Linked DNA regions of Notamacropus eugenii. The protein of the gene in region 1 interacts with the protein of each later gene in a pairwise test. Links are inferred from orthologs where the notes say so. Each region holds a gene or a part of one and is shown on either strand. Other genes may lie near its edges.

Evidence for each region.
Region 2: the proteins of HABP4 (region 1) and C1QBP interact in a two-hybrid assay, tested with the Homo sapiens proteins (2 studies listed by BioGRID and IntAct). The link is inferred for Notamacropus eugenii from reciprocal best matches to the Homo sapiens genes HABP4 and C1QBP.

What each region holds. Positions count from the first base shown.
Region 1 is NC_092874.1:327,441,747-327,451,837, reverse strand, and holds the start of HABP4 (intracellular hyaluronan-binding protein 4), read left to right. Parts: upstream 1-5,383; 5' UTR 5,384-5,478; coding exon 5,479-5,884; intron 5,885-10,091. UniProt on the Homo sapiens protein: Ribosome-binding protein that promotes ribosome hibernation, a process during which ribosomes are stabilized in an inactive state and preserved from proteasomal degradation.
Region 2 is NC_092877.1:389,108,679-389,118,634, forward strand, and holds the start of C1QBP (complement component 1 Q subcomponent-binding protein, mitochondrial), read left to right. Parts: upstream 1-5,742; 5' UTR 5,743-6,044; coding exon 6,045-6,273; intron 6,274-9,367; coding exon 9,368-9,518; intron 9,519-9,956. Other genes in the region: ATP-dependent RNA helicase DHX33, read left to right, coding at 81-284, 930-1,016, 2,455-2,763.

The DNA of each region.
Region 1 (10,091 bases):
AATAATCTAGTACGTGATAAAACCAAAGATCAAAGTTTTTGGAGCAAAAATTCATTATTTGATATAAACTGGTAAGAAAACTGGAAAACACTATGGCAAAAACTAAGTATAGACCAACACCTCACACTGAATACCAAGATAAGGTCAAAATAGGTATGTGATTTATACAAAAATGGTGATACCATAAGCAAATTAGGTGAGCATGGAATAGTTTATCTGCCAGCTCTATGGATAAGGGATGAATTTGGGACTAAAGAAAATATAGAGAGCACCACAGAATGTAAAATCGATAATTTTGATCATATAAAATTTAAAAGTTTTTGCTTGTGGTTTTGCTTGTGCAAAAACAATGCAACCAAAATTAAAAGGAAAGCAGAAAACTGGGAGAAATTTTTTTGCAACAAGTATCTCTGATAAAGGCTTTATTTTTTAAATAAATAGAAAAACAGTCAAATTGATAAACATACACTGTCATTCCCCAATTAATAAATGATCAAAAGATAACAGGCAGTTTTCAGACAAAGAAATCAAAGCTATCTATAGTCACAAGAAAAATATCTAAATAATTATTAGACATATATAAATTAAAATATATATTATATATATTATATTATATATATTATATAAAATATAAATTAAAATAACTCTGAAGGTCCCACCTATCAGACTGAGAAAAGGAAAATGATAAATGTTGGAGGTAATGTTGGAAAACTGGGATACTAATGCACTGTTGGTGGAGTTGTGAACTGGTTGAACCACTCTGGAGAGCAATTTGGAATTATACCCAAAGGGATATAAAGCTATGCATATCCTTTGATCCAACAATATCACTGTTAGGTTCATATGCCAAAGATATAAAAAAAAGAGAGAGAGAGAAGGACCTATTTGTACAAAAATATTTATAGCACCTTTTCTTGTGGTGGCAAGAATTGGAAATCAAAAGGATGCCCATCAATTGGGGAAGGGCTAAACAAGCTGTGCTATATGAGTGTGATGGACCATTATTGTTCTGTAAAAAATAACGAGCAGACTAATTTCAGAAAAACCTGGGCTTATATGAGCTGATGTAAAGTGAAGTGAACAGAAACAGGAGAACACTGTACACAGTAACAGCCATACTGTATGATGAACTGTGAATAACTTAGTTATTCTCAGCAGTATGACCCAAGGCAAGCAAGAACTGATATTATTTAAATACAGACTGAAGTAGGCTATTTTTCACTTTCTACCTTTCATTCTCTTTTATTCAAATCTTCTTGTACAAAATGACTAATACAGAAATATTTTACATGAATGCATATGTATACCCTATATCTGATTGCTTACCATCTCATGGAAGAGGGAAGGGAGGAAGAGATAGATTTGGAACTCAAAAATTAAAAAAAAAAAGTTGAAAATTTGTTTTAACATGTAATTGGGGAAAAAATGAAATATATTAAAAATGAAAAAAATCATCAGCATAGACATGATAATTAAATCCATAGGAACTGATTAGATCACCAGGTGAAAGATTACAGAAGTAGAAGAGAAAAGGACCCAGGACAGAGCCCTGTGAGATACCCACATGTATCTTGCTTGTTAATGGGTGTGACCTAGATAAATAGCAAGCAAAAGAGACTGAGGAGGGGTAAGATAGATAGAATGAGAATCAAGAGGGAGTAGTGTGTATCATGAAAAACTACTGAGAAGAATATCAAGCAGAATAAGGTGACTGATAATTAAAAACTGCTCAGAGGTTACAAAGGATGGAGAAAAGACCACTCGATTTAGCAATTAAGAAATTATTAGTAACTTTGGAAAGAACAATTTTGGTTGAAGTCAGATTATAGAGAGTCTAGAAGAGATTGAGAAGTAGAGCCACCAATTCTAGATACCCTTCTCAAGAAGTTTAACTACAGAAGGGAGGAGAGATATAGTATGATAGATATTAGGGCTGGATGGATCAAGTGATGGTCTTTTTGAGCATGGGGTGTGGGGGAGAGACATATGGGCATGTTCATAGGCAGCAGAGAAGCATCCAATAGATAGGGAGAAATGAAAGACAAGTGAAAAGTGGGGATGAAAAAAGAGAGAGTGGAATTGTGTAGAATTTTGCTCTATATGCTCAGGAATGAAGTGCACAGACATGAAGAGAAATGATTCTAACCAAGTGGAGAAAGGAGTTTTCCAAAAAAAAAGATGATGTGAACGCATAGCAAACACAGCAATCCATTTAGAATTTTTTTAATGTGTGTGCAGAAGTTAGAAGTACAAGTCAGATAATAAGGTGAATATGAAAATATGCCATAGTTCTATTTTTTTTTTGGTAGACAGGTTAAGTGATTCGCTTAAGGTCACACAACTGGTAAGTGTCTGACTCTGGCTTTGAATTAGGTCCTCCTGACTCCAAGGCTCTATCCACTTAACTCCCTAGCTGCTCCCTATACCGCTATAATAATAGTGTCAGGAATGCTGAATGAGCTAAGGTTTGGTGAGGAAAGTGAGAAGAAAAAAGGATTCTTTTAATATTGTTTTTTGCTATACTGGCAAAAAAGAAAGATGATTAAACAGGACTGCTAATCAAAATGGAAGAAAAATACAACAATTGGAAAGAAGAAAAAAACACTCAGCTTTTTTCTGTTTTCTTTTTTTTTTCTTTACCAAGAAGAATGATCTTTGGATCAGAAAAGACAAAGCAAAATTGACTTAAAGTTGACAACCAAGACAAACAAGGAGATTGTCAAAGTACATTGCTTTTGATGACCTCTAATCACCAGTCCAAATGAATTGTACTTCAGGGTGAACTAGATTCTATCTCCATGTCACCATGTAGAAGAACTATATCCCACTTTAGAACTAAGAAAGAATAGGTGGACATGACTGCTATATCAGTCAATGATATTTGAAAGATCTTGCAGACTAGAAGAGATCCTGTATAATCTGAGAAGGCCAAATGTTATAATGACTTACAAAAAATGGAAGAGAATGAAATCTGCAAACTACAGGTGAGTGTGACTGATTCTGGTAAAATTCAAGGAGCTGTTCTTAAAGTTAGTGAACATTTAGAAAAGAAAGCAGCAATCACTAACAACCAACACGACTTAATCAAGGACAGGTCATCCATTTTTGTCAGCATTATTAGACTTTTATATTGGAGGAATGCTAGAGATACCTCGTTTACCTGGGTTTTAGAAAACACATGACAAAATTTCTCATACTGTCCTTGAAGACAAGTTAGAGAGATATAGGTTAGATGATCATAGTCAGGTGAATTTAGAACCAATTGAATGCCCCTATCTAAAGAATAATTATTGTTTGTACGTTAACTTGGAAGTTCTCTAGTGGAGTACCTCAAGGATCAGTTCTTTGAACTTAGCATTTTAATCATTGCCATGGGTAAAGAGATAAATGGCATATTTGTGAAATTTGCAAATGAACCAAAGCTAGGAGTAGTAGCTAACATGTTGAATGAATTAAGCACCACAAAGATTTTGGACATGAGGACAAAAGTGATGTGGTTTAATTTTATGAGGATATGTGTAAATTCTTACACTTGTATTTTAAAAAATCAACTTCCTAAGATAGGGCAGGTCTTCTTAGCTAAGTATATTATCTGAAAAAGATCTGCAGTCTTTTATGGACTGCAAAGTCAATATGATACAATAGTGTATTATCTTTTCTTTGTATGACCAGCTGTATTGTAATGAGCAGCTGTATTTTTTGTTTCATATAATTTTCATACAATTCATAAAATTGCTTGTTGAATTGTGAATGAAGTCATTCCCTATCATCTACTGGTGGCATAGGCCTCCAACCTTAATAAAGCTTGTCTTCTAATTTTTTTTTTTTTGGCAGATTGATGACAGTTAATGAAATTGATAAGAAAATTCATGCTGCAAATGAGGCTAAAAGAGCTGAGTTCTGAAAATAAGCAATAAGGAGGTTACTGATGACTTTGGACAGAACAATTTCATAGAATGATGGGAACTGAAGCCAAATTAAAAGGGTTTAAAGAATGATTGGGTGCCAAGAAGGTGGAAGCGATGAGTGTAGACTCTACCGCAGTGAAGGCTAGAGAAATATGGTGGCAGATTCAGAAATGTCGGGGAAATTATTGAAGAACACATGAGAGAAATTGGGATTGATTGACGCAGTAAAGGATCTGAGAGTGGTCGTGATCAAGAGAAAAGAGTTAGGTTTGGCAAGGAGGAGGGCCCCTTCAACCCCTGGTACTGAATGGTGAAAGAAAACACTGGAAGCTTTAGGGGGAGGGAAAGAGAGGAAAAGATTATTGAAAGCGCTCAGCCTTCTTTTTTTGCACACACTAGGTATTTAAGAAACACATGTTGATTGAATGAATGGCTCCCAAGGTCTTAGTAAAAACAAGGTCATTTCCTTGGAGTCGTATTGGTAAAGCTGGGGACTTAAGAGATTTGGAATCGCCAATGCGGTGGATTGGGTTCAATGAGATAAATAAAGGGGTGGCCATGTACTGGTACTAGGTTCAGCGGAGGTCAGGTAGGAATAAAGCTGTAGTGACGCTAGTCAGGCTCGGTTTGGGGATTTCTTCCAGAATTCTTTTTCACTGTTTAGGAACAGGAGTGGACAGAAGCCAGACTGTGGTAACCTGGGGTTAAAGAGAAGGAAAACAAACGGAAGGGACATTTCCTCCAGGATGCAGTTGTGAAAGCACACAGATTACGCGCATCTGCTGCACACTGCCAGACTGACTCCACGGTTACCTTACAAAGGTAAAGAGAGCGGGGCTGGCCAGCACCGGAGGAGTCGGGGCTGGGCTCAGAGCTGGCAGGGCTGGCCAGCACCGAAGGAGTCGGGGCTGGGCTCAGAGCTGGCAGGGCCCTTAACTACAGTCCAGCAGACCGGACGGTTGGCACAGAGTCTTTGCACCAGCGAGACTCAGACCTCAGTACTTCTTCCCCTCTCCTAGGGATGAACTTGGATGGATGTTAAAATAAAACAAAAACCCGCTCACTAGAGGCCCCTCACGCAAATCACCAGTCTCGAGAGTCCAGCCACCACTCTCCTCTAAAGAACGGCCAAAGAGCTCGGACTGCACTAGCGGGAGGAACCTGTCCGACCCCAGCTAAAACCACGCTTCTCTCATTTTACTGCCCCAAGCCCCGCCCCTGGAGTCAATACCTCCTCCCCGGGGCTGGTAGGCGGACCGAGGCGGGGCGGAAAGTTAGCGTGACGAGACAGGAGAAGGCAGGCGATTGGCCGTGACGGAGGGTCTGGGCGTGACCAACCCCATTGATTGGTTGGAGGGCGGGGCCTCCAGAGCTGGGACATCTACGGCGGCTGGCGGGGAGACGGGGGCGGCTGGCTGTGGGGGGGGGGGTGCGGGTAGTGGGGCCGGGGACCGCGGAGGGCTGAGGGCCATCGCGGCGGCGGGGGCGGCTGCGGGATGGGGCTGAGCTCCCAGCTCCGTTAAAGACTGGCATCGGCTGCGGCGGCAGTCGAGAGAAGGAGGGAGCGGCCATGAAGGGGGCTCTGGGCAGCCCGGTGGCCGCCGCCGCAGCCGCCACCTCCGCGATGCAGGAGACTTTCGGCTGCGCGGTGGCCAACCGCTTCCACCAGCTGCTGGACGACGAGTCGGACCCGTTCGACATCCTGCGCGAGGCCGAGCGGCAGCGGCAGCGGCAGCAGCAGCAGCAGCGCAAGAAGCGCGACGAGGCGGCGGGGGCTGCGGGCGGCGGCGGGGGCGGCGGGGGCGGGGGCCGGAGGCCCGCCTCGGCGGGGGCTGCGGGACTCCGGCTGAGCGGCGGCGGCGGCGGCATCGGCGGCGGAGGCGGCGGCGGCCGGAGGGAGTCCCAGAAAGACCGCAAGATCTTCTCCTCCCCCTTCTCCCAGCCCGACAGCTTTGGGGGAGGCCCGCAGCCGCCCGGTACGCCCACGCCCCTCCCTCCCGGCCGGCTGCGGGAGCGTTTCCCCGTTTATTTATTTTCTCCTTTTTTAGTTATCCCCAATCTGCCCACCCTCTTTCCCCCTCCGCCCCCCTCCCTGGTGGCGAGAGATCCGCAGAGTCCGGCCGGAAGCTCCCGCATGGGCCGCGGCCGAAAGCGTAGCTCTCCCGCATCCCGGGCCTCCGGCATCGCGGTCTAGCAGAGTTCTTAACTCTTCAAAGTTGTCTGTCTGTCCGTGTCGCGGTTCTTTGGGACGTCCTTAGGGTTCTGCTGATGTCGCCCCGCACCCGTGCAAACGAATCTTACCCAGGTTTCTCCGAACCTCGCCCCGTCCCCTTCACCGTTTCTTACGGCACAATAGTATTCCCTTCCATCTGTGGACCATAATGTGTGCAGCCATCCCCCCTTTGGATGGTCACATCTTCTAGGACCCCGTTCTTTTCCGCCCCACCCCCACCTCCATCCCCCCACGAGGGTAGCAAGGGAAGTATTGAGGCTGCGGTGGAAACTCTGCAGGCAGACGATGATAGGAGAAAAATGGGAAAGAGGGACGTCATCTCGGGCCTTTCTCCCATCGCATTCTCCCTCTCATCCCTCTGAAAAGCTGGGCACGGGGGTTAGGGGTGTCAAAAGTGGGTTTGGAAGGCTAGCAGAATGAGGTGTGGAGACAGACCTGGAAAATCCAAAGGAACCCCACCCCCAATTCTGCCAAGGACAATTGGAGGGGAAAAATTATACTTTCTTTCTTTTGGTTTAAATGCGGGGGAGGAGGTAGAGAATTTCTTCTTTGAGAGGCAGAGATAAAAGTAGCCCCAGAGTCGAGGATACTGGAAGGGGGAAAGGAACGAAGAAGACTTTTGAGACTCTGGGCTGACATGAGAGCCTGGATTATCTGGAGCAACCTGGTAATGATGATACCTGTTAAGTATGGAAGTAATGGAATGATGTTGAGCAGCTAAGTTCTGTTTTGAAAAGGGAGAATGTAGATAGTAAGGGTGGCATTAAAAGTATTTGATTTCAAGCTACCTGAGGTTCAGAACCAATCCCTGGCTGACTTGTTAGGGCTGTGCATCCGCGCAAGGCACAGCCTAGAGTTCACTAGAGTGCTAAGTTGGCACCGGGGGATTCAGTAGTTTAAATAATATTATGCAAGTTTTCTATTATCATCTGGTATTAAAATTTGACGTACAGTCATGGACAGCGTTTTTTGTTTTGAATTTTGGATTATGTCAATCTGTTGCTGATATATTAGAGAGATTGCACTCCACCCGAGTGTATTCAAAAATGATTCTATAATGTTGTTGAGATGCCTTATTTCTTTGTAGCAAGTAGAAAATCAGGACTCCAGGTTGATGTGTTAATATTTCTACAAAGTAAATGTATTTCATTATTTCGCCTTGCCTCCTGATAATGTGCACTAATCGATGACCTTTAACTCTACAAGACAATCAACCACTTTTGCCTTCTGCACAGTCTAATTCAGGCAATGGCTATGAGGTTTGCAGAAAGCTACTGCTCTATTTGCTTTCTGTTTAAAATGAGAGGATTTAATGTGGCAATCTCCTAAATATGAAAGAAAGTGAAATGGAGTAGATTTTTCAATTTATCCATAGGCATGCATGCTGTCTACTGTAGTGACCCTAGGTCCATTTGTATAAGGAATCATACATCAGTAGCACTGAGTCATTTGGCCTAATTTAAGCTTTAAGAATTTGTCTGAAGGCACTAGATAATAACGAATTATTTTTACCTGGGAAGTATAATCAAGAGCTATCGTTTTACTGTTAGTTACATTCCTTTACAAAACTGTCTAAATGTGTCACTAAGTATTTTTAGCATGCCAGTTAGGGATGACATTTGAAAGCTGTGTTTATGTACTATGCCATTTTGCTCATATGGTACCTGTGAGGTCATTATCAAGTAGTTAAGTTAAAACTCTGCTAATGTAGATTTTTTTTCCATTGATTAAAAACATTTTGTTTAACTTTAGGTTAATTCTTTACCTTACTCTATGTGTTATTCCAAAAAATGAAGATTTGTGTTCTCTGCCCTCTGCTGTTAGTATGAAACTTTATATTAAGTGGTACCTAACTAATATGATTAACATTATTGTAAGTTCCTAAATCAACTTTTTAAAAGTTGATTTTAACAGCTTTGGTAGTCTCTTTTCCTCTGTCTAGGAAAGTTTTTGCACTATCTTATTACTTTACAATTCTTATGAGATTCATTTTAAAGAATTTTGGTTGGCTTTAGTAGTCTAAAGGCTTTGTGTTCATTTAGGAATATCTTGGACTCCAGGAGCAAATCAAAGCATTTGTTTTTGTGACATTATCTTGTTAAGCTTCTGTGTAGTACTTTTGAAAATGCAAGTCCCAAGATTACAGCCTTGGAATATTATTAAAGTGGTAGGTATTGGACTTTGTTGTCTCTGAGTTTTCACTCCAGTAGAACATTATTTGTATGTGAAAACTTAATGTGGACAGGAAACCACAGTTCAAAGGAGTGAAGTGATTTAGTAGATCATTTATTAATCAGAGAATGTTATACAAATCACAGATTTTTTTTTCATTGCAAATGCCTAATGTTTCTTTCTTTTGTTTAAATAGCTGATCAGGTGTTGAAAAAATGTAAATTTAGCAAATGCAGATCCCTGTAAGTGGACCTTGTTTCTGGAGATTATCAGAGTTCTTCCTTAGTAACTATAACTATAGAAGTTCCCTTTCTGTAACTATACAAAATCCCCTGATGTGGTCCTTAAACTAAAAACTTGATTTTTGCCTGATAATTGTTGTAGATGCCATTTATTTAGTCCCTTTTATATGAACTTGCTTGTCTAATTCTTTGATCAGTGATCAAATTGCATGTGCCAGCCCTTTATTGAAAAGGGCTGTGAAATGCAAGGTTTGCATTATGCACTCACAGTTGCTGATCCAGCATAGAGAAAGGAACTGGGTTGTGCCTCAGTGAATTCCTAATACTGTATTTCCAAAATTGGAACCACTGATAATATACATCTTTTAGGATTTTCAAGGCAGGAAAAAACATTACAATACAGATTACTTCATCCAGTTTATAAAAGACAAGCACTCAGAAAAGGACAAGGTTTTTGGCAAAGAGGTCTTAGTAAGGGCAAATATAAAACTACACGATTCTTCATTTAAATTAATTTATTCTAACCTTTTAAAATATATTCGAGTGGACACTTATTAGTTCTGTGATCCTGAGCAAGGACCTCAACCCTGATTTTCTTTCCTCTCTCTCTCTGTCTCCCTCTATGTGTCTGTCTCTGTCTGGTCTCTTGTCTCTCACACACTCACACACACACACTGAAGTCAGAGAAGAGTGTTGTCTAAATTCTTGTGAGGAGTTTTCTACCCAAGTGGTATTTTTAAAAATCATAGTTAATTGACCCCCCTACCTACATTTGATTCTTAATATGCATTAAAATGACTTTGAGTTTAAGTTAAGAAAAATTCATATTATTTATAGATAAAACACATTTACATGTTTTGTTAGTGCATGTGATGATGACTGTGTTCACAATCAATCTTCAATTTAAAATACATGTTAGAACAATCTTTCATTTTCCTATTTATTAATTCATTTTGATAATCATACTTACCAAGGCATATAATTTCAGTTTACATGGTATCCCTTTCTGTTTTAGCAACATGTGCCAAATGAGCTAACACTGCATGAGATTTTGGCCTTCTCAACATTCTCACCAGTCTTTTCATCATTGTTCTGGCTCAATAAAACCATAATACTACATTTATGAATATAGCAATATTTTGTATGGAACCAAATAAGTCATGAGCTCAGATTGTAATTTTGTTACAAGATAGAAACCTGTTTAAACCGTTTTCAAGAATTAGGCATATTACAACCATTGCAAATTGAATTTAAATCTATGGCATATCAGATTTTAATATGCTAATTACTATCATAATAGCAGTATTCCATATTTTAACATCAAGAAATGTTATTTTTTGGACAGGGACTTAACTTACCTCCATTTTCAGTGACACATATGTTTTTTACTGAAAATTGAATCTTTTAATTTATTAGAACTTTTATTTTTATATCTGGTCTTTAGAGTTTTACATGGAAAAAGTTAATTTAGAATCAAACTCTCATTGAAATTCTTTGTCTGGTGTGTAAAGTAAATATCATTGATAAGCATTCCAA
Region 2 (9,956 bases), on another chromosome or scaffold:
GTGCCTTTCCTTTCCAAAGCCCCTGGCCCTGCGGAGACCCGTGATCTGGGTCTCAGCAGCTCCCCGTTTGTCCTTTGCAGACCATCCTTCTCTCCCCCAAATTCCACTGCACAGAAGAGATACTGACCATTGTTTCCCTGCTGTCTGTGGACAGTGTCCTGTACAACCCTCCCTCCCGGCGCGATGAGGTGCAGAGCATCAGAAAGAAGTTTGTCTCCAGCGAGGGGGACCACTTGACCCTGCTCAACGTGTACAGAGCCTTCAGAAACGTTGGCGGGAACAAGGTAAGCAGAGTCTTGGTGCCCTTGACTCTGGCTTCCCTTGGTGTGGAGCTGGAAAGCCAGCCTTGAGAAGCCCTAGTGCCTGTGCCAGGGAGGCCTCCACCAGACCCCTGATCACTCGGTGCCCCAGCCCAGGTCCCACCTAGCCACTGTGCTGTGAGAGTGTATACAATGCTCTGCCCTGGTAGTCCCCCATCTCTCTGCTGTGAGAGAGGAGAGTTACATTTCATTCCCTTTTCATGTCAGTCATGGTTTAAAGTCCATACACACACACATCCCAGGCCAGCCAGGCAGACAGTACACATTTATTCGTTGCTTCTTGGGTGCCAGGCCCTGTCCTAATGCCGATCACTGTGACAGGACATTAGTGTATGTTGTTTGTAGGATTGGAGTCCTGGCACCAGTCCTGGCAGTCTCTGCTCCGTGTAAGGACATGACACCTCTTGCTAACTGCCCTTGCCAGGGGAAGGGTCATGAGGGAGGACCGAGTGCCAGGGCTCTATCAGCTAGCTCCATCTGCTCATGGCCTGTGTGGGTCAGTCCCCAGAGAGCAGGTTGCCCTCCAGCCCCAGTGCAGGGTGTGCCCTGCCCTGAGTAGACCCTGCTTCCAGGAAGCTAAGGGATGTGCGCTTTTTCTCTGATCCCCAGGAATGGTGCAGAGAGAATTTTGTCAACAGCAAGAACATGATGCTGGTGGCAGAAGTCCGAGCCCAGCTCCGGGACATCTGTACCAAGGTAATGTGGGGCCTTCCCCCACATTTCACTTCTAAGGCGTGGCTCCCCCACAAAGTAGCCCCACTGCACAGTGGTCATTCCTTTAGGCCAGAGGGGCTTTGTGTAGCTTAACTCTCATAGTCTTGAGGAAATCAGGGTTAGCCATGAGCTGATGACTTCCTGGGTGCCACCTCACTAGCAGTCCCTCCTGTTTGGGGGCTGCTCTGGTTTGGCTGAAATAGTCTGTGTTTCAGCTCTTCATGTCCTTGGGGCCCCTCCTAAAGCTCTGGCAGACTGAACATCCAGGTTTCTCTTGGCTGATCCTCCTCTGGACATGTTTCTGCTGACCTTCACCCTTCCTAATCCGTGGACCCAGTACTGAGTACAGCTCTGTTCTCTGGGCCTGACCCAGGAGGCAGCATGACCTTCCTAGGCTGGATGTCAGGAGGAAACTCCTTGAAAAATCCCATGGGATGGAAGAAAGGCAGTCCAGCAAGATTAGCGAAGGGGTAGTAGCAGCAGACTCCCCTTCGGAACAGGCCATCCTCTTCTCTCACACCCTCTGTTAGACTGTGACCTGAAAGAGAAAGGTCAGGCAGATTTCAGGGTGGCTTCAGCCAAATGTAAGCAAGGGAGAGGCTGGCGCCACCCCCACCCCATTCTGCATCATCTTTTAGAGGTCATTGACCACGGTCTGCCCTCATGTTATCAGCCTGAGGGTGCTTAGAATTCATGGAGAGCAGCTGGGGTCCCTTACAGTCATGTGTATCCTCTGACCTTCCTCTGACCCTCCAGGGGTGAAGGAAGGTAGGGGTGGGGATTACCAGTTAACCAGACCTGACTCCTTGAGCCTCCTCCCACTCACTGGAGGCTACTTCCTATGTGGAGTTGGAAGAAGGCTTGCCCTTGTCCACATTCCCACTCCTCCACAGGCCAGGCTCATGGCAGAGCCTTGGCATTCCAGATGCAGGGCTGGCAGAGCTCAGGCAGGCGTCCACCACCTCTAGCACCTGCCTCCTCCTTCCGTCCATGTCTGCAGCCTCAGCGCATTGAGGGCGAGCTCTTTAGACCACTTTTCCTTCTCAGCAGGATCGGTTCTTTTGGCATCTTGAGAATTTCAGTCTTGGTAGTTTCCCAGATGGACATTCTCTAGGGAATTTTAGTTGGTTCTTGGCTGAAATGATTAGGGTCTCTACCCCTCACCTGCACTCCCAGTAGGGCCTGTCTCCTATTAGCACAATGTGGGGAGGAACGTCTCCTGCTCCCCAGGGTCACTCCCTGGGATAGCACCTTGCTCTTTAATGGATCATTTGGATGACAGATGCTGGCATGAGGAGGAAAAGGACCTAAGTTTCCCCTCTGTGCACCAGCCAGCTGGGGCTCAGCATCTTGGCCTGAACCTCAGTCGGATGGGGAGAATTAGGTCATCAAGAGTCATCTTTCTCCTCTTCTTCGACAGATGTCGATGCCAATCGAATCTTCACGGGCAGACACGGGGAACATTCGTCGATGCCTGGCGCATGGCCTTTTCATGAACACTGCCGAGCTTCAGTCTGATGGGACCTATGTAACCGTGGATACCCGCCAACCAGTATCCATCCACCCGTCCTCTGTGCTGTTCCATTGCAAACCAGCCTGCGTCACCTACAATGAGCTGCTGTCCACCAATAAGTGCTACATGAGGGACCTCTGCGTGGTCGATACAGACTGGCTCTATGATGCTGCGCCTGAGTACTTCCGCAGAAAGATGCGGGCCGCCCGCAGCTAAGCCTCGTGGCTCAGGCCGACGTTTGGCCAGGATGGGAGAGGCAACTGGCGGCCTCAGAGCTTGGGGCAGAAAGGGAAGGTCAGAATTCCATGCCTGTTATGGGATGGCTTTGGAAACTGCTGCAAAGGCTTGAGCTGTGCTCATTACTGGCTAGTGGGCAGGAATCTGCCACGGTTGGCTAGTTTTTATCCATATACAGTTTTTCAATTGAAAATGCAATAAATTGACTTTTGTAAAATTTTTAGGAAGGAGATGTTGCCGCTGCATGGCCTCATTCATTTAGCTTGGGCTCCTCTGGGGGCCTTGCCAAAGTTGGTGCCAAGAGAGGTGTGAGGTGATGGGGGTGGGGTGGGTGGAGAGGCCTTGGGGTCATGGCTCCAAGCCCCTCCCTGCCAGGAGCTGTGGAGCCTGAGGAAATTCTTCTGTCTGCTCATTTCTGGCTGCTGGTGGTAACAGGTGGCAAAGTGCTTTATATCTACCCACCTTCTCATCTCATTTAAGCCTGGTCTAGGTTCTGTCATTGTTCCCATTTCTGTGCTGTGGAAATGGAGGCTGGCGGAGTTGATGTGACTTTGGCAGGGATTGAGGCAGGTCTTGGACTCAGCATTTCCTCAACCACAGTCCAAAACACTTTCCATGCCACCACCCAGCTTCTGCTGCTAAGTGATTCTTACACAGGTGAGCTTTCGAATATTTGGAGGCAGCAGCCATACCCTAGCAGACCTGGGTGCACACCCCTGCTTTCACCAGGCCTTTCCCCAGTCTCCTGGGTCCCTGGCAGCTCTGTATAATTGGAGTGAAGTACTCACCCATACGTAGCCCTGTGCCAGGCTTCAGGACAAAGCTCATTGTGTGAGAGCCCTGTGCCCATGCAGGAGAAGCTGCAGAATTCAGATCAAACCAGGTCATGCTTTCATGGATCTCAGAGGGCGGTTGTTCATTTGCACATTTTCTTGTCTCTGCATTAGCTCTTAGAGATCTTCCCAGCCTTCCCTACCAGTCACCTGCATCATTTCTTACAGTACACAGGACTGTCCAAGTAGCCAGTTTGGGGGGTGTCTTTGGACTTCAAATGTTCCCCACTTCCGTCCATCCTCCCCTCAGTCACTAAAATGGTTTTCCTAAAGCTCAGTGCAGGCTCTCTGCCCCCATAACCCCCTCCCCCTCCAATAGACTCCAGGGGCTCCCTAGTGCTTCTAGGATCAAACACAAAGAACCCTACATTATCTGCCCTTCCCCCTCTTCCAGTCTTATTATACCTTACTTCCCAAATTGGACTTTTGGATTCAGTGATCCCAGCTTCCTGTCTGTTTCACTAACAAGGCCCTCCATATGTCTGGCATTTTCTCTGGCTACCCTCCACCCCCACGTCTGGAATGTTCTGTCTCTTGCCTTCCTTTGAGCCCCAGCTAGAATCCCCTTTTCTACAAGAAGCCTTTCTGGGCCATCCTTAATCTTTGTGCCTTTCCATTACTGATTATCTCAATCACCACATGTATTATATATTATGGTGTGTGGGTGTGTGTGTAAAATTAGGGCAGCTAAGTGGCACAGTGGATTAGAAGTATCTGGCCCCAGACACTAGCTATATGACCCTGCACAATTGCCTCAGTTTTCTCATCTGTAAAATGAGCTGGAGAAGGAAATGGCAAACCTTTCCAGTATGTTTGCCAAGAAGATCCCACCTTCCTTCCCTTGCCCATCGAGAAAGTACAAAGCAAACAAAAAGAACCGTTACCAATAGGTCAAGCAAGCCAGTCTGTGCTGACCATGTCTAAAAACTGTCCATATGTTGAGGTTCAGGGGTGCTGGGGACCCTGAAATACCGACATGCCAGGTCCTGCCCAAATGAATTCAACTCAAGCTTTCTTAAAGCCAAAGAAAAAGTTTATTAAAGATTTGCCATACTGGGTTGACTCAAGGAGCCTAAGCTTTTGTAACTCTCCCAGATAGAATCTCAGACAGAGTCTGAGGTGGATTGAATCTGAGCACCTTCAAGGAATCGGGATGGAATTTAAATACAGAAAAAGACTGAGAAGCATCCAGGTGTTGGCAGGGATGGTCTTGGTAGATCAAACCTAGGAGAGAATCCTGATGGGAGTGGTCAGAAGCCTGGGGAATGGGGTTTTAATAGGATCAAGGGTGGGGAGTGCAACAGAGACCAGTGCACAGCGATAATGAAAAGCCCAAGGGCTTCCTGAGACTGCTGGAACAAATGGGAAGATTAGATTTGAATAAGAAAGGCCAGATTAAGTGGGAACATTCAAGAAGGCTCCCAGAGTCTGAACCCATCACATTTACACTGAGCCCAGCATTAGTGTCTCCAGTGGTGGGCAGAGACTTTCCTCCCGAGGCCTCTGGAATTGTGAGAGCTTCGGTAGTGAGAATTTTCAGGGTCCTTGCTAGCTACGGATAATGCAGGTACACTGTCATTCATTTAAGCAGAATGGGATACCTCCAATCCGTGTGGGATGGAGGTGTAGGTCTCACAACTGCCGAGATGGACACGAGTGTATGTAGGATCTCTCCTTCCGAGGTACCAATCCGGGCAGGCTGGATACAATCTAAGCTCAGTCCCAGGTAGCTGGGATTCTAGGTACCCCAGGCTAGGCGCTCCCGGTCCCTTCCTTAGCCTGAAGCGCAGGCAGTTCCCACAAGTGCATGTTGGATACTTTGTAACCTTAGCCTGAAGCGCAGGCATTTCCGGCTCGTACATATTGGATATTATGTACACATGCAAGTTGGATACAATGTAACCTTAACCTGCAGCGAAGTCAGTTCGGTCACATGCAAGTTAGATACAACGTAACCTGGGCGCTCGCGGTCAGTGACAGAGAATGGGGATGCCTCTGGAGGAAACTGGCCTGAAATGGAGCCCCGCCTCCTTCGGAGGAGGGTCGGACAAAAGGATGGTGAAAACAATGAGGTTAAACAGGAAGGCAGAAAACAGGCGGGGAAAGTGCGCTCACGTCTGGGCGTGTCCAGAGAATACGCGGTCTCGAGCCATTCGGGGAAACTCCGGGCCCTCCTCGCTCTAGAGTCGGGTGACTCCAGTAGTGGCGTCGCAACCAGTCAATCATCGTGCAGTCCTTGAGTACCTTCACTGGTGCTATCACCATCTCCCGACGAGGGGCGCTGTGACCCTCCGAGGTGGCGCACGAACTTCCGGAACGGGACGATCTTGGGCCTTTCCGGCCAGCGCATTTCCCGGCGTGCTCCGCACTCTCTGCTGTCTTTCCGGTCTCCTACGGCGCTCCCACGCCTCTCCGCGTGTCTCGGTCATGGCCCCGCTGCTGCTACCGCTGCTGCTGCGCCCTGCGGCCCGGGCCCTGCGTCCCGCCGCCCTCCCGACGCTGCGCCCCCCCATGGCCGCCGCCACCCGCGCCTTCGGAGGCCTCCTGGGGGGAGGAATCGCCGGCAGGCCTGGGCCCGCGCGCCCCCGACTCCTGCAGCCGCTCCGGAATGCCCCTGGCCTATGCTCGTGCACGTGCGGGGGGCTCCACACCGAGGGTGAGCGCGCGGCCGGGACCTGGGGAGAGCGGGGGAGGGGCTCCCACGCTGACCCCATGGGGTGCGCACGTGGATCCGCACACCTTCCCAAAGGCGGTCAAGTCGCTTTCGGGGCGCCGATTATTCGGATTGGCGAGGGCTGGGTTTGGAATTGGGGCTCCTGCCCGGGTAGTTACGGAGGGAGCAGGCCCCACGTGGCTCTGACCCTAACCCCCTGACCTATTTTCAAGGTGACCCTTGGTGTGGGGAGTGCTTGTAGCTGCCTCGCCTTCCCACTGCCAGGCCATCCTGGCTCAGTCTGCCCTTCTGTCCTCTCCCGATCCGACACTCTCTCTGTCAAGACTCATCTGGCTTCTGGCTTCTGTCGACTTTGCTAAGTCTGTGGTTTCCAACTCTAACCACGCTGAATGATCATCAGAGCCCAGGACGATCCACAGCGCATTGGGGTGCCCAGTCCAGCGGGCAATTCTGCCTTTGGAATTGGCGCCCCAAGAGTTTACCCACATGCTGGCAGCTCCCACAGACAATGGATGCTGCTACTGCCTTTAACAGGCGGGGAGGGTAGGTGTGGTGGCAGTGGAGCTAAGGCTGCTTGGAGAGGGGATTAAGAGAAATAAGTGTTGAGAAAAAACCACTTCATAGGCGGAGAGTGGGTTGGTGGCCATATTTGCCTAATGAATACTAGGACCCCGTGGGGCAGCTAGGTGGTGCAGTGGATAGAGCATCAGTGCAGGAGTCAGGAGGACCTGAGTTCAAATCTCACCTCAGACACTTGACACTCACTAGCTGTGTGACCTTGGGCAAGTCACTTAACCCCAATTTGCCTCCTCCTGGGTCATCTCCAGTCATCCTGAGGAATATCAGGTCACTGGATTCAGATGGGTCTGGAGGAGAAGTGAGGCTGGTGACCTGCACAGCCCTCCCTCACTCAAAACAAAGTCAAGAGCAAGTCGTGTCGTTATTTCTCTGCTGGCGTGGTCTTCTTCCACAATGAAGGATGATCACACCCTAGGACCCCATACATTATATTTTTATTTTGGTTTTTGTTTCATTTGTTACATTGGTCAAGTTGTTTAGTCTCTGCCCACAGAGATATTTCTGTAGAGGATTAGAGATTCTTTCAGTTCAGAGCTACTGGATTAATGTGAGATTTTGTGCTTGGCCCCAGGGTAGTTGATGGCTATGGCAGAGAGGGAATAGGGTAGGAAGAACATTATCGCAAACCTCCTATGTGCTAGGCACTGTGCACCTTATAAATATTCTCTCACTCTTGAGCCTCTTGAGGGCCTTGGGAGGTAAAGGCTATTCCCCATTTTTCCAGAAGTGGAAGGTGGCATCCCTCGTGGGTGGTCTTCAAGCAGAAGCTGGTGCCATCAAGTTACTGGGCTGCCTTGTGATACTCTGCACCCTCCCCATAGCATCTCTGTTCTCAGGGGAACCCACTGGACCTAAGATTTCATCAGTGTAGAAGATGAAGGAATTAGCGGCACCATTGCATGTGGCACCTCATCCATAACTTAGCAGGGGCAAAATGATTAGGGCTGGTCTCTCTAGATTGCCCCTTATTTAGACACTGGGACATCTGACCCAAAATTGCCCAACAAAACAAATAGACCATCGGACTCTAACCCTAAATGGACCAGGTTCCCCTTAGTGTGCCTGTTTGGGTAGGGTGGACAGAGGGAGATTTGTCCCAGGTCCTCTGTTTAATCAGGGCAGACTTGGCAGAGACGGAATTTTCAGGGTGTCTTAAATGAGGCTTCTGCCTAAATGTAATTGCTGGGCCTTGACTGTGGCCCCCTGACCTCTCTGGATCTGGCTTTCCTCTACAATGAGTGTTTTGGCTTCAGTTGCCCCTGCCTTCTGTCCCCTCTGAGCAGCACCATCTCTGTGGCAAGTGAGCCACAGCATCAGGATCCAGTGAGTCACTCTTTGCTCAGTCCACAACTTAAGGTTGTGGAATGGGGCCTAGTGCTACCATAAGTGCACACAACTGTCCAGGGGTTGTGTTAACACAAACTACTCAGGAAAGATTGGCAAATTCACTGTGAACACTGGAAGTGGTCTAGCAGGTGCTGAGGGTCAGCTGTCATCTCCAAACAGATTTCACCTCGGTGGGAGACCAAGAGTGGACATTATAGATGCTGTGTCTCCCCCGAACAAAGTCAGAGGGAAGTGGATGGAGGATGTCGTATTTCACAACTGTGGAGATAACTTGGCAGTCTCAAATTGAGAAAAATATGAATGATTTCCCCAGTCCAGGTAGCAAGATTCCTAAGAAAAGCTAGACCGACAACAGTATCAGTGCACTTAACGTCTCCTGCTTCTGTCAGCTGGCACCCATTGGACAAAAGTCCAGAGAAGTTGATCATTTCCTCCTGCAGTGTGACTTGCCAAAATATTAGTACATGAATCCCTTTATCTGCACTGGACTCTTTGGGTCTCTTTCCCATGCCTCCCTTTTGTCCCATGGTTTAGGGTCCATCTTGAGCCCTGTAGCTCTAGCAGGCTCAGGCTCACTGCTGGGACGTTCTCTTTCCCAACCTTCTGGTTTTGCCCTTGCCTCATGGGGCTGATTCCCTAGTCTCCCTCCCTCTATTGCTGTATAATAAATGACTTAACACTTGTGTCAGTCCAGTTCCCCTCCTGTGATCAGATGCTCCTGGAGTCCAGAGACTCTTACATTTTCATCTTGGCACTAAATGGGTATTTGGGTCTGAAGGCAGGCCCTGTCTTCAGGGAACTTCCTTCTCAGGAGTAGATGGGGTCAGGGGGTCAGGAGTTGTGCACAGAGGCACTGGGGGCACCTCTTCCTCGCCTATCATTTATTCCTGACCGGGGTGGCCAGCCTTGACTCCAGATTCATGTTCACAGCTGCTGGGGAGAGGGAATCCAGGCCTGATCTATAGTCCCTACTCCCCATGCTACAGAGTGGGGCGTGTGGCCATATTGTCACTATGATGATCTCTGACTGCCCCACCCAGCTCTATCTTGATAAAGCTTGTCCATGCCAAGGGTCTCTGCATGTGTCTTTAACATGAACCCATGATAGAGTTTAAAAGGCAGCTTTCCCATGTCTCCATTTTTATTTTAGGGGACAAGGCCTTTGCTGAATTCCTGACTGATGAAATTAAAGAGGAAAGGAAAATCCAGAAACACAAATCCCTCCCCAAGATGTCTGGGGATTGGGAACTGGGTGTGCAAGGGACAGAGGCCAAGTTAGTCCGGAGATTAACAGGCGAGACGTGAGTATGGCCTGGACTGGGAGGGACTCATTGCTAGGCCTACGACCACAGACAGAGCTGGAAAGGAATCTTGGTTATCAGATGGTGGAACCCCTCTGGGGTTGCTGGGACACCACTGTACAATGGTCCTTTCAAGGGGGTGTCTCTGAGGGGAGTTACAGAGAAAGCTGTCCAAAGAGGGACCGCTAAAACATGCTGTCCTCGGGGGGGGGGGCAGGGTGAGCTGGAGGGAAAGGGCTGAACTTGAGAGACTGGCTATGGAAGGAGGACGGGAGGCCCCTGGGATGCAGCAGCGCTTTGGGCCTCTGCTTCCATTGCTGACAGAAACATGCCATTCCACCATGGGCCACACACTGGCCTAGGGAGGCTGTTGGTGTGTACCAGGGGAAGCGTCAGAGGAGTAGATTGTACCAGACGTGGAACCCCCTTGGTCTTCTT